Arabidopsis thaliana: one gene and its partner. The protein of the gene in region 2 purifies or fractionates together with the protein of the main gene of each other region. This does not show direct contact. Each region holds a gene or a part of one and is shown on either strand. Other genes may lie near its edges.

Evidence for each region.
Region 1: the proteins of ACAT2 (region 2) and ALDH6B2 fractionate together in Arabidopsis thaliana (co-fractionation; one large-scale study listed by BioGRID). This does not show direct contact.

Annotation. Positions count from the first base shown.
Region 1 is NC_003071.7:5,976,695-5,983,768, reverse strand, and holds ALDH6B2 (aldehyde dehydrogenase 6B2), read left to right. Parts: upstream 1-1,869; coding exon 1,870-2,107; intron 2,108-2,152; exon of another isoform or gene 2,153-2,190; coding exon 2,191-2,288; intron 2,289-2,362; coding exon 2,363-2,434; intron 2,435-2,522; coding exon 2,523-2,684; intron 2,685-2,752; coding exon 2,753-2,831; intron 2,832-2,927; coding exon 2,928-3,082; intron 3,083-3,188; coding exon 3,189-3,252; intron 3,253-3,514; coding exon 3,515-3,594; intron 3,595-3,787; coding exon 3,788-3,853; intron 3,854-4,111; coding exon 4,112-4,162; intron 4,163-4,251; coding exon 4,252-4,403; intron 4,404-4,691; coding exon 4,692-4,782; intron 4,783-4,893; coding exon 4,894-4,974; intron 4,975-5,174; coding exon 5,175-5,252; intron 5,253-5,321; coding exon 5,322-5,357; intron 5,358-5,449; coding exon 5,450-5,493; intron 5,494-5,580; coding exon 5,581-5,659; intron 5,660-5,756; coding exon 5,757-5,847; coding exon of another isoform or gene 5,848-5,918; exon of another isoform or gene 5,919-5,935; coding exon 5,936-6,042; and 2 more. Other genes in the region: AT2G14160 (RNA-binding (RRM/RBD/RNP motifs) family protein), read left to right, coding at 6,968-7,074.
Region 2 is NC_003076.8:19,551,524-19,557,268, forward strand, and holds ACAT2 (acetoacetyl-CoA thiolase 2), read right to left. Parts: upstream 4,009-5,745; 5' UTR 3,698-4,008; intron 3,607-3,697; 5' UTR 3,600-3,606; coding exon 3,566-3,599; exon of another isoform or gene 3,508-3,565; coding exon of another isoform or gene 3,489-3,507; coding exon 3,390-3,488; intron 3,303-3,389; coding exon 3,129-3,302; intron 3,035-3,128; coding exon 2,929-3,034; intron 2,850-2,928; coding exon 2,711-2,849; intron 2,490-2,710; coding exon 2,412-2,489; intron 2,337-2,411; coding exon 2,271-2,336; intron 1,948-2,270; coding exon 1,862-1,947; intron 1,736-1,861; coding exon 1,636-1,735; intron 1,558-1,635; coding exon 1,447-1,557; intron 1,368-1,446; coding exon 1,326-1,367; intron 1,224-1,325; coding exon 1,047-1,223; 3' UTR 1,031-1,046; intron 941-1,030; 3' UTR 619-940; downstream 1-618. Other genes in the region: AT5G48220 (Aldolase-type TIM barrel family protein), read left to right, coding at 1-11, 89-171, 271-339, 440-523. UniProt on the Arabidopsis thaliana protein: Catalyzes the condensation of two molecules of acetyl-CoA to produce acetoacetyl-CoA. Generates the bulk of the acetoacetyl-CoA precursor required for the cytosol-localized, mevalonate-derived isoprenoid biosynthesis.

The DNA of each region.
Region 1 (7,074 bases), on a different chromosome or scaffold from region 2:
TTGTTTTTTTGTGCATTGGTTTGAATAATTGTACATCACAAAACTATATTCCGATATTACACCACTTGTATTCATTGTTCGTTACACTTTGTGTTTATATATATAGTACATAATCTTTATTACAACAAACAATACAATTCTCTCTATTATTCTCTAAAACAATCTTCCTTTTCTCCAAAAAAATATTTCTTTTCTCCAAAACAATCTTCCTTTTCACCAAACAATCTTCTTTTTCTCCAAACATTTATCTTCATAGTTCATCAAACATGAGATCTTCTTCATCTTATAATCTTGACGATAAGTTTGATCAATTTTTCAATGAAACATTATAGAGATATGTTGATCGTCAACCAACCAAGTCAACAAAAATGAGCATATATTGCAAGAGATCGTGAACTAGGACACATCCAGTTGTAGAACGATTATTTCAAAGAAGATGCGACATTCCCTCCTCATATATTGTGACACCGATTTAGAATGAACAAGCCATTGTTTATACGTATTGTTGACGGACTCTCCAATGAAATTTCATGCTTTGAACAAAGAAGAGATGTTATCGGCAGGTTAGGTTTATCGGCACTACGAAGTGTACAACAACAATTCATATGATTGCATATGGTTGTTCAGTGGATGCGGTTGACGAATACCTACAGATTGTGAAAGCACTTCGATATCATGTATGATACATTTTGTTGAATGAATTATATATTTGTTTGGGAAAGAGTATCTAAGTAGACCTACACGACAAGATCTTAAACGACTACTCCGTATTGGAGAGGTACATGAATTTTTTGGGATGATAGGAAGCATCGATTGTATGCACTGGAAGTGGAAGAATTGCCCCACCTTTTGGAAAGGATAATATACACGTGTATCTGGCAAACCGGCAATAGTGTTAAAGGCTATTGCTTTCCAAGATCTTTGGATATGACATACTTTTTTTGGACCTCCAGATTTCTTAAATGATATATATACTTGATTGCTTACCAGTTTTTGATGATAAATTACAAGGTCGAGCTCCAAAAGTGAAATATATCGTCAACTGGACCTACTATCATTTGGTTTATTATCTCACTGATAGAATTTATCCTAAATGGGCTACATTTATCCAATCTATTTCAATTCCACAAGGTCACAAAGATTCTTTATTTGTTACAAATTAAGAAGCTTGTTGTCAAAATGGTTAACGTGCTTTGGGAGTTTTGCAAACTTGGTTTGTAATTGTCAATCCAGCTCTTATTTGGGATAAGAAAAAAATAGGAATGATCATGCGAGCATGCATAATACTTCCCAATATGATAGTAGAGGATGAACAAGATAAGTACATTCAGTTTGATGCAGCTGAATTCACACAACCAAAATCAACCAGCTCTTTACAAATGGATTTCAACTATTTTACAGATATGCTTTCAAATCTCGGCAATATTATGGCCGCTCGAGCCCGAGTTCGTGATCTGGCTATACATCCACAATTGAAAGCTAATTTGGTTAAGCATATATAACAAACATTTGGCGGGAATTAAGCTAACAATTAATCGTTATTCTGATTTTCGATTTTCGTATTTTATATATGCTTTTATGTCATGTATCTTTAAAATTGGTGTATTTGCAATAACTATTCAGTTTTATAAAATAAAATATTTATAATTTTTATTTTAATAATAATTTTTTTTTAAAAGCCCACTTTTTTCATTAGACAAAAAAAATTTAACAATCTATCCAAAACTCTTAAATTTGAATTTGATAAAATTTATAATTAAAAGATTTGGAAGAGCCCCATAAAAAGCTCTTGGACTTGCTTTTAGTTTTAAAATTGTTAAGGCTAAATATCTTTTTTTTTTTTGTCAACCATGTACATATATCTTGGTGATGGTGAGAGTCAAACAAAAGAATCTTGAATCTTATAGATCTAACGGTACATATCCACCCACGTGGCGAAATCCAACCACTTCATTCGCACCCGATCAACATCGAGTCAGCATTCACTCATCACTCAAATCCAAAACCAAAAGGAGACGCTTATACAAAGAAGCAGACGACAACACCAAACTCCGATCATCATCATCAACAACAACAACAACAACAACGATGCTGCTTCGAATTTCTGGTAAAAATCTCGATTCTCTTGTACTCGAATCAAAATCTGCAGACTTCGATACTATCGAAGCTAGTTTTTGTTACTGTTTTCAGGTAACAATCTGAGACCTTTGAGACCACAATTTCTCGCTCTTCGAAGCTCTTGGTTATCAACTTCGCCGGAGCAATCTACTCAACCACAAATGCCTCCGGTGAGTTCTTAGATCGATTTCGATGTGATTTTTATTCAAAAGTTTTGATTTTTCGATGTGGGTTCTGTTTTCAGAGAGTACCAAATCTTATTGGAGGTTCTTTTGTTGAGTCTCAATCATCTTCGTTTATCGATGTTATAAACCCTGTAAGCAAACTCTCTTATGAGTCCTATACTCTTGTTTGATTACTTAAAGGTTTGAACTTTGAAGTAAATTCTGATTTGCTATTATTAGGCTACACAAGAGGTTGTATCTAAAGTTCCATTGACTACTAATGAAGAGTTTAAAGCTGCGGTATCCGCTGCGAAGCAAGCGTTTCCGTTGTGGAGAAACACGCCGATTACTACCCGGCAGCGTGTTATGCTAAAGTTTCAAGAGCTTATACGCAAGAATATGGTAGCTACCTGGTTTAGTTTGCTATGATCTTGATATGTGCTTGGCTGAAAGTTTTGATTTTTCTGTAGGATAAACTTGCTATGAACATCACAACCGAGCAAGGGAAGACTTTAAAGGATTCACATGGTGATATCTTCCGTGGGTTAGGTTAGTATTTTATTTATGTATTGTAGGTTTGATTATATGATTGACAAGAAGAGGAGAACCTTAGTGCTTATTTTTGGTACATGGTTTCTTACGCAGAGGTTGTGGAGCATGCGTGTGGAATGGCAACCTTACAGATGGGTGAATATCTCCCCAATGTGTCGAACGGAGTTGATACATATAGTATTAGAGAGCCATTAGGTGTTTGTGCTGGCATTTGTCCTTTTAACTTTCCAGCCATGATTCCTTTATGGGTAACATGCTAAGCCCTTTTTTATATGGCTTCATTATGTATATCGTTAATTCTTTGTGATTCTCTTATGTGAATTCTGCGTATTTATTATGTGTTTGTTAGTGCAGATGTTTCCTGTTGCAGTGACATGTGGTAATACCTTTATTCTGAAGCCATCAGAGAAGGATCCCGGTAAAATACCCTTATTCCTTCGAACTATTCCAGTTACTAATAGACACTTCTGTGGTGTTTAATTGATGTATGGGAAGTTCAAGATGTCTTGACTTTCAGATCATGTTGTAACATATCGTTGATGCCAGTGTAGTGAACATGCATTTTACTACCACCGCCAATGTGATGAGCGAAATGTATTGTTGATTGACTGTTTTCCACTATAGCTATAGAGGTCCCTTCTATTGATTGGTTGATTATTGATATTACTTGCTTTCTCCAGGTGCTTCTGTAATACTTGCCGAGTTGGCAATGGAAGCTGGTTTACCTGATGGGGTTCTCAATATCGTTCACGGAACCAATGTAGGTTATGTTTAAACTTTCTGCTCTTTCTAAATTTCTTATTTGTTAGCATTTGAATTGTTAAAGTAAGGATCCCGTCGAGAGATATTATGGTGAATATTCTAGTTTGCAATTAGAGTAACCTAGTTTGTAAAGATTCCGCACTATTACCTTCACTTTCTTTGTTGTCACTGAAAATGCATCTGTTGCACAGGATACTGTGAATGCTATCTGTGATGATGAAGATATAAGGGCTGTTTCTTTTGTTGGCTCCAACACGGTAAGTACTTTTTTTTTTATGTTGCTCTTTTATAGCCTGCAGACTTGGCTTTGCATTTGACCGAGTTATTTACAAATATTCATTTAGTCAGTGTCCTGTGTAATTATTTCAGCTGTCTAATAAAACGTTAATTGTATACAAAATCATACCTTAGATCTTCAAAATCTGTCAATATGGACTGGTAATGGCAGAATTGCTTTTCTTCTGAGCTCAACCTTTTCGTTAAACTTGCGTATTAATGCATTGTTTTGTTTAAAGGCTGGAATGCATATATACGCAAGAGCAGCAGCAAAAGGAAAACGTATTCAGGTAAAGTCTTGCATCTTTTCCCATTTAAAAGTCTTCCTTGCTATTTCGAAACGACACTATGTCAAATTGCTTATAATATATTGACTCAGTCAAATATGGGGGCGAAAAATCATGGACTTGTCTTGCCTGATGCCAACATCGATGCAACTTTAAATGCGCTACTTGCTGCTGGGTTTGGTGCCGCTGGACAGAGATGCATGGCACTGAGTACAGTGGTTTTTGTTGGCGATGCAAAATCATGGTACTGCTTACTTTATATATTCAAATTACTCCAGTTTCTCGAATATCTTATATTTCTTGTGATAAACACATTTTCCTGTAATCTTTTTCTCTCGTACGGTTTCCAGAACCACGCCTTTAGGGTGCTTAAGCCATATATAGGATAGTTAAGATAACACCATTTTCTTTAATTTAGATTGACTATTGTTGTGTCCTAATACTAAATGTAACTGAAGAATATGTATGAGGCCTGTTGATTTTCATTTGACAGTCATGAAAGATTAGCTTTAACTTGTCTAATACTAACCAGGGAGGATAAACTCGTTGAGCGAGCTAAGGCCCTTAAAGTCACATGTGGGTCAGAACCAGATGCAGACCTGGGTCCTGTGATTAGTAAACAGGTATTTTCGCGCACAAACCTCTGAACTTACATGTGTAAAAATTATGTTTAGTTTTGCATTCTGTCTGTTGTTCAATATGTATACGTTATTGTTAAATTTTGATATGACTAGGCGAAAGAACGGATATGCCGGTTGATTCAGTCTGGTGTAGATGATGGTGCTAAATTGCTGCTTGACGGAAGAGATATTGTGGTATTTTCCCATTCTCCATATTTACTGCTATTGCAACAGACTCATGCCTTAAATATAGCACTACCCTCCACATTCTTATCAAATAGTAATCATCAAGAACCGCAGAAATATCTTGATTTAATAATCTTTGTGTAATCTTGAAAACAACGCAAAGATCAACTGGTCCGAGAAGTTTATATGTTTTCTCTTATAACAAACAGGTTCCAGGATATGAGAAAGGGAATTTTATCGGTCCTACCATTCTATCTGGTGTTACCCCAGACATGGAGTGTTACAAGGTATTTTCTGACATTAAGGCAAATGATCCGTACTCTACTTGAATCTTAAAAATTCATTTTTCTTCGCAGGAGGAAATATTTGGCCCTGTTCTTGTGTGCATGCAGGTCAGATTGGAAAACTAGTCTTATATCATTCATTTATTCGTGAATTGTGAGATTAATGCCCTCTGATGCTTTTGTGACATATTCATTTACAGGCAAACAGTTTTGATGAGGCCATATCTATAATAAATAAAAACAAGTAAAACACCCTGTTCTATCATCATCTTAATACTAAAATTTAATCGTCTCATCATCTTCAACAATTTGCTACTTACGCCGTCAACAGGTATGGGAACGGTGCTGCGATTTTCACGTCGTCCGGGGCAGCAGCAAGAAAGTTCCAGATGGACATAGAAGCAGGACAGGTATGAAGAACTTTGGGCCCTATAAAATACAACATTACTTGTATGCATTTGATTACATGTTTGATATCTTCTTTTGTTGTTGTTAATGTTTGCCCAGATCGGTATTAATGTTCCAATCCCGGTTCCATTACCGTTCTTTTCCTTCACCGGGAACAAGGCCTCATTCGCAGGAGATCTTAACTTCTATGGTAAAATTCTTGTCACAACTAAACAAAAGAAGATCCATTCTCCTTTCTCTTTGCTTATATATATACTTTGAGTGAACTATTTTTGCAGGCAAAGCAGGAGTGGACTTTTTCACTCAGATCAAAACTGTTACACAACAGTGGAAAGATATTCCAACTTCAGTATCTCTGGCAATGCCAACGTCTCAAAAGCAATAATGAGACCTTAACTTCAAATACTTTTTTTACTTTTGGATTATCGAATCAGCTTCAAGAAGAACCCTTTGTTTATTTTTCAGCTCTCTAGTATTTTCTCATGCTTAGTTTCCTTCTTTTAATCACTATGGTGACTAGAACTCTAGAAGTAACCATGGGAATAAGAAAAAGTAAAAATCTCAAATTTGCCTAATTTGTCAAATAAAACCCCTAAATGACATTCTTTGAGTCGTAAACTCATAAAAGTCAAAGTGAAACTTATATATACAAGTTATTATGTGTCTTCATTCCCAATTGAAACCCAAAAATCCCTGAATTCAATAAACTCGAATTACGAAATTTTGAGTTTTATTTTGACTGTTTTTTAATTATCATGTAAACAACTCAATCTACATGGACCATGACCAAAGAAAACTGAAACCTTAAACCTATAAAGTAGTATCATTATTTAGTGAAAACTAGTTCCCAAAAAAAATCACTAGTTTAAACCTTATTGTATTTTTTGAACTTTAAGATGTTGTAGACTCATCAAAGTCAAAGTTAACGATCTTTAATTTATTGTGTTTTTTCTTTTCCAATTAAAACCCAAAATTCAATAATCTTTGGATCGAAAATTTGAGTTTTGTTTTGACTGTTTTTCTAATTATCATCTAAACAAACTATACACGACCATGACCAAAAAACATAAACTTTTCGCCTTCCACTATAAAAGTATCATCATTTAGTGTAAACTAGTTCCAAGAAAAAAATACACTTGTTTCAAACCATATTAGAGTTAATAGCATTTATCGATATCATCACATGCATTTACCGCTAACCTTTTTCTATAAATTGACTAAAGTGTCTCTCATTTTATGTCACTCATAAAATTGCTATGTTTTCTACTTAGAAATCACTACTTGTTTTTGAACTCTCTTACTCTTTCAAAATGGCTTCCACAAATGTTGAATTCACGTGCTATGTTGGCAATTTGGAGTCGGACACAGAAGAAAATGATCTTAAGAATGCATTTTCTCAGTTTGGTGACGTTATACA
Region 2 (5,745 bases):
CCGTAACCTTGGTAAATGCTTGAACCAGACCTCCTTTAAAGCTAGACATACAATCCTTCTTGATCCGTTTTATCACCTTTTCTTTCAGAAACATTTGAGGTAGATCTTGGTATCACAAAGAAGCTACTTGAGGGAGAGCGTGGCGAACTGATCCGTCAAAAAGACATCCTTGTAAGTAGTATTTCACATCCCCTGTTTCTCTTACCCCTTACAATGTTACACACACCTTACTTAAAGTTTGTATATCCTCAACTTGTCTTCACATTGTAGGTGGTTGGAGAATCTGGGTTATTCACTCCCGAAGATATCGCCTTTGTTCAAGAAGCCGGTGTCAAAGCAGTAAGCTTTCACAAACTTTATAGTTCAAGATAACATTGCCCACAATGATATTGGTTCACCTGATCTTAGCTCCCATGTGATTTTCTTTTCCTGTTATTAGGTTTTAGTCGGCGAATCTCTTATTAAACAAAGCGATCCCGGGAAGGCAATCAGCACCCTATTTGGAAGAGATGTCTCAGAGTAAATTCCGAGTAGAAACTTTTTGTATAGAGAAAATCTTCATTGAAGTCTCTTTTTTTCTTCTTAAGTGCCGCTCAAGTGCGCAGAGGCTTGTGCCTTTACAGAAATGTCCAATTATTATTATTTTCTTGTCTTACATACACATTGTGTACTTAAATTTATCCATCAAATGTCAAATCTTGGTCGACGTTTTAATGAGTACATGAGGATAAATCATTAACTACGGTAAATCGGTCCATGATTCAATAACTGACTGTCACCGGTAAGAGAAAAAAAGAAGCCGAGTTCATATAAATAAATAGACTTAACAACATCAACGATCACTCCTTTATTGAGAGACCAACTAACATAAAACGTAAAGTGCAATGACTGACTCATGGAAGTTGGATGAGAGATAGATCCATCTATTTAGTTTACCAACCTGAGAAGAAAACACATGAGAGGAGATCATGAGTTCCTTTCCTGCATTCTACATCTTCGATCTATGAACGCTAAGCAGAATGTGAGTTACCTGGATTCATAATGCATCAAAGGAGCTCAAGAACTAGAGCAGAAGCACCTCCTCCTCCGTTGCACACTCCTCCCACACCGTACTTTCCGTTTCTCTTCTTTAGTATCCCAAGCAACGTGATTAGAATACGGGCGCCACTGCAGCCTAGAGGGTGTCCTAAGGAGACAGCTCCTCCATTTACGTTCACTTTCTCCTGTTTAGGCAAAGAGGAACAAAATCCATGTTTATGAAACCACTTGATTAAGTTGATTGAGAAGATGATGATTTAACAGACTCGGTGATATAAAAGACTTACTGGAGCAATCCCGAGTAGCTTTTGATTTGCAAGTGCTACAACCTGTGAAAAGTCAGTTTAGTAAAAATTACGCATCACAATGGTTTGTCAATTATGTAAGGAAGAAGACAGATGTTCTTACTGCAAATGCTTCATTGATCTCATAGTAATCAACTTGAGAAGATTCCAAACCAGCATGTGCAATGGCTTTTGGTATAGCAAGAGCAGGAGCAGTAGTGAAAAACTCTGGTTCCTGCAGGGTTTGGGTCTCACTTAGTGAATGGAATCAGATTGTATTCAAAAAGGGAATGCAAGATTATAAGTAACGTACCTGAGCTGCGTCACCATACCCTTTAATTTTTGCTAATACTAGAAGTCCTAGCTGAAGAGCCTTCTCTCCGCTCACTAGGACAAGGGCAGCTGCACCATCACTGTCAAAGAGAGACAAAATTTACTAAAGAGAAAAAAAAGTTGCAAATCTAACCAAGATCCACTTCATACGTTACATGAGTTCTCTAAAAGCTAAGAACATATATATGGTCAGCTAGGAAAAGGACCTTATGCTAGACGCATTTCCAGCTGTAACAGTCCCTCCATTCTCTTTGAAACTAGGACGGAGTTTCCTCAATTTTGCAGCATCAAACTGAGACATTGAGACATCATACATGTAGCAAATCATACTAAATTAGATCTCATTTTTTGGAGTTATCTTAACCACAAGTTTCATTTGCTGACGTGTAATGCCTCATACAGTAGAAGATACAAATGAATAAAAATTTATGACTGAAAACATAAACATGAATAGAATTTTCTCAAAACAGTAGTCAATGCAAATACTCTATTGTTCAGCAAAGTTCACTTAGAAAACAATCTGTATGCAACAGGTGAATAACATGAAAAAGCACAATCTCAGGTTCACTGGAGTATAAATGCATAATCGTTAAACCAAAAGGGGACATAAATCACCTTCCCAAGACCTTCGTCCTTGTCAACAATGGTTGATGGCCTACCTCTTCCTCCAGAAACTTCAACCTGCATAACCAATTACCTTAGTATATATTCACCATGTATAACGCATTAACCAAAAATTACAAAAAATATACTAACCGGGACGATTTCCCATGTGAAGGCGCCAGCTTCCTGGGCAGCAATACCACGCTCAAAACTCTGAACTGCATAGTCATCCTGCATATTCATCAGTAAGACACCAATCAACTCATGTTTTGAGTTTCCATAAAGAATGAGCCCAACTAACCAATTCTAGTAGTTCACAGATGGCTAATGATCAAGGCAGTGGAATTGTACAGAGGATGTATGCAGAGTATCTATCAATAATAAGTTGATGGGGTACAAATATGCAACAAGCATCACGAGTCTTAATTCAAGAAAACTAAGGATCAACATACTTGCTGCTCCCTTGTAATCTGAAACTTCTCAGCGCATAATTCTGCACAGCTTCCCATCCCACAGTCGTTATAGACATCCCATAGTCCATCCTTCAACATTCCATCTACTAAAGAATCATGACCAAAACGAGATCCCTTCCTGCATCAAAATCCGAATAAGAAACAATGATGCATAGAGTAAAAAGACCAAATGATTCCGTAAAACCACATCATTTTACCTTGCTTCTGCCAAATATTTTGGTGTATTAGACATGCTTTCCATACCACCCGCCACAACTACATCATTGATCCCTAACTGGATACTTTGAGCAGCAATCATTACCGCTGAAAAACCACCAAACAAACCAGAAAAACATTGTCAAAAGCATCAAATCAAAAGTCTAAAAAATGCAGAGCGCAAATGTTCCAAAGTTCTCACCTTTCATGCCTGATGCACAAACCTTGTTAACTGTAGTACAGATAACAGAGTTAGGGATTCCTGCACCTAAAGCAGCTTGACGAGCAGGAGCTTGACCCAAATTAGCACTAAGAACATTGCCAAAGACAACTTCTTGAACAAGAGCTGGATCAACATTTGCTCTCTTCAAAGCAGCTAAATCATTAAAAACAACAACAAGGGCTCGTCAATTATACATAAAGCTAAAGATTTTGCACAGAAACATGAACTGTTTTTTAATACCTGCAATAGCTAAAGATCCAAGCTTTGTGGCAGGTAAAGATGAAAGAGATCCGAGAAAGCCACCCATTGGAGTACGTGCAACACCCACAATGCAAACATCTGATTCATCAACATTCATATATCAAAAAAAAAATTCATCCTTCAAATTCAGTTTACTAATGAAAGTGTTTTGTTACCTCTAGGATTCACAGATTCTGATGTATGGGCCATTGCTAATCTACAAAATGGTGTCAAAAGTCAACAAGGGACCAATCTCATTAAGAACCAGATCCCCTATAAACATTTGGGATCTATGTGGGATCATTTACCTTGATTCTTCAATTCCAGAAGAGAGCGCCGAATGGAGAGAGCTGAAAGAAGTGAGTCGTTGTGAAAATGACAGCGAATTCTACAATAAAACTGGAGAGAGAAACAGGGACAGAGGGTCCTATAAAAGAGGACGCTTTCTTGTGATGTTGTTGTTGTTGGTGAATCAGCGACGATAACTACGATGAAGAGCAACACGACTGCTATATGATCTGTCTTTCAAAAAATAAAATAAAAATTATCTGTACTTCAAACTCTTTAAATGTTTTAAAATAAATTATTGTTAAATTACTGTATCAACCCCTTCTTCTACATAAATCATCATTGATAGCAAATATATATTTGAAAATAATTGCACATGGAAATTGGAAACTTTGTTATTTACGCAAATCTTTATTTATTTTGTTTTGTGGAAAACGCAAATCCTTATTTAAGATATAATTTGCACAAAGAATCTTTATTATTTACACAAAATCTCTATTTTAAATATATTTATTTGTTGTTTGTTGACTCATTTAATATATGGTGGGTGGGTCGGCGATTGGGACGAAAGTTAAAGGGTAAACATTGGAAACAAATAATTCGGATGGTAAAAGATAGTATTATTCAATTTATTTTGATTCAAAGACGGGATTAAAATTTTGGGTTCTAAATTAGGTTCAAAAGTTTTATGTAATGAAATTCCACATTGGGACATGTATTTGGAGAACATTCTACTTTAAGATAAATATTTCTAATTTTTTGGGTATTTTGATTTTTGTTTGGAAAAGTAATATACTAAAATGGATAATACGAATACTCTCTCCCACACTTAATCCAAATGGATAGACATAATTGGGTGAGAAGGAAATCTAAATAGCTTTATTGTACATTCCCTTAATAGAAGTTAAACTCTTGAGTCTTCTTAAGTTAATAAATTTATTGTGGGACAAACTAAACCAAGATAGATTTTTGTGTTCATATGAGCTTGTTAAAGTAGAAATCTAAAATTGAAAATAAGATGGTTCATTAAGTTTAATTGTGCAAGAAATCGAAAAGAAGAAAATATTCAGATTGTCACCACGATTAAAGTGGTTCTTTGACTGGTCTCATACAAAGCAAAAAAAGAAGAAGAGAGAGTTAACACAAGAAGCAACTCCTAAAGATAACTTCCCTTCTTCTCATTATACAAATCTATATAAATCTATTTTAATGACAACCCTAAACATATGGGCTAATAAGTTATTTCTATGACAATGAGTTTTTATTTTGGACAAACTTCTATGACAATGATTAAGTGTTCCAATAACTGCAGTTTGTTTGACCAAGATTTTGATTCCAATTTTTAATTTTTATTCGATATGCAATTATTAAAATCCGACTCAACCCCAAATTACGACCCAAATTCAACTAACAAACACGAATGGGATGGAGATTGATTTTTTTTTTTAGTGAATTAGGATGGGGATTGATTTTCTGTCTGGAAATGGAATAGGTTGTTGGGAACGAAAAAGCAATCTACTAAATACTCTCTATTGTACCTTCCCTTGATACAAAAGTTAAACTCTAAGTTAATGAAATTGTAGTTAGGCCAAAGTTTTTTTTCTGTTTAAGGGCAAATTATAATTATTTATTAATTGTTTATCAAAAATAAAATATCGGTCAACGCATAATTCTGACAACCGAAGTAGAATGGTTATGGTATTGGCAACATAACTTATATTTATTTGTGTATGTCGGTATGTTATAACAATATATAGTGTAGCTAACAAGACATTTTTAAAGTATGCATGTGTGACTAGATGATGACATCTCTTTCGTATAAGTAGCAAACATTTATCCATTTTTGTGCTCATATAAACTTATTAACATAAAAATCTAAAATTGAAAATAAGATAGTTAGTTAAGTTTTATTGTGCAAGAAATAGAAAAGAATAAAATATTGGGATTGTCATCAAGATTAAAGTGGTTCCTTGATTGATCTCACCAAAAAAAAAAAAAAAAGAGACTTCTACGAGAGGCAACTCCTAAAAATACTTCTCTTCTTCTTATCACACAAATTATGAATCTG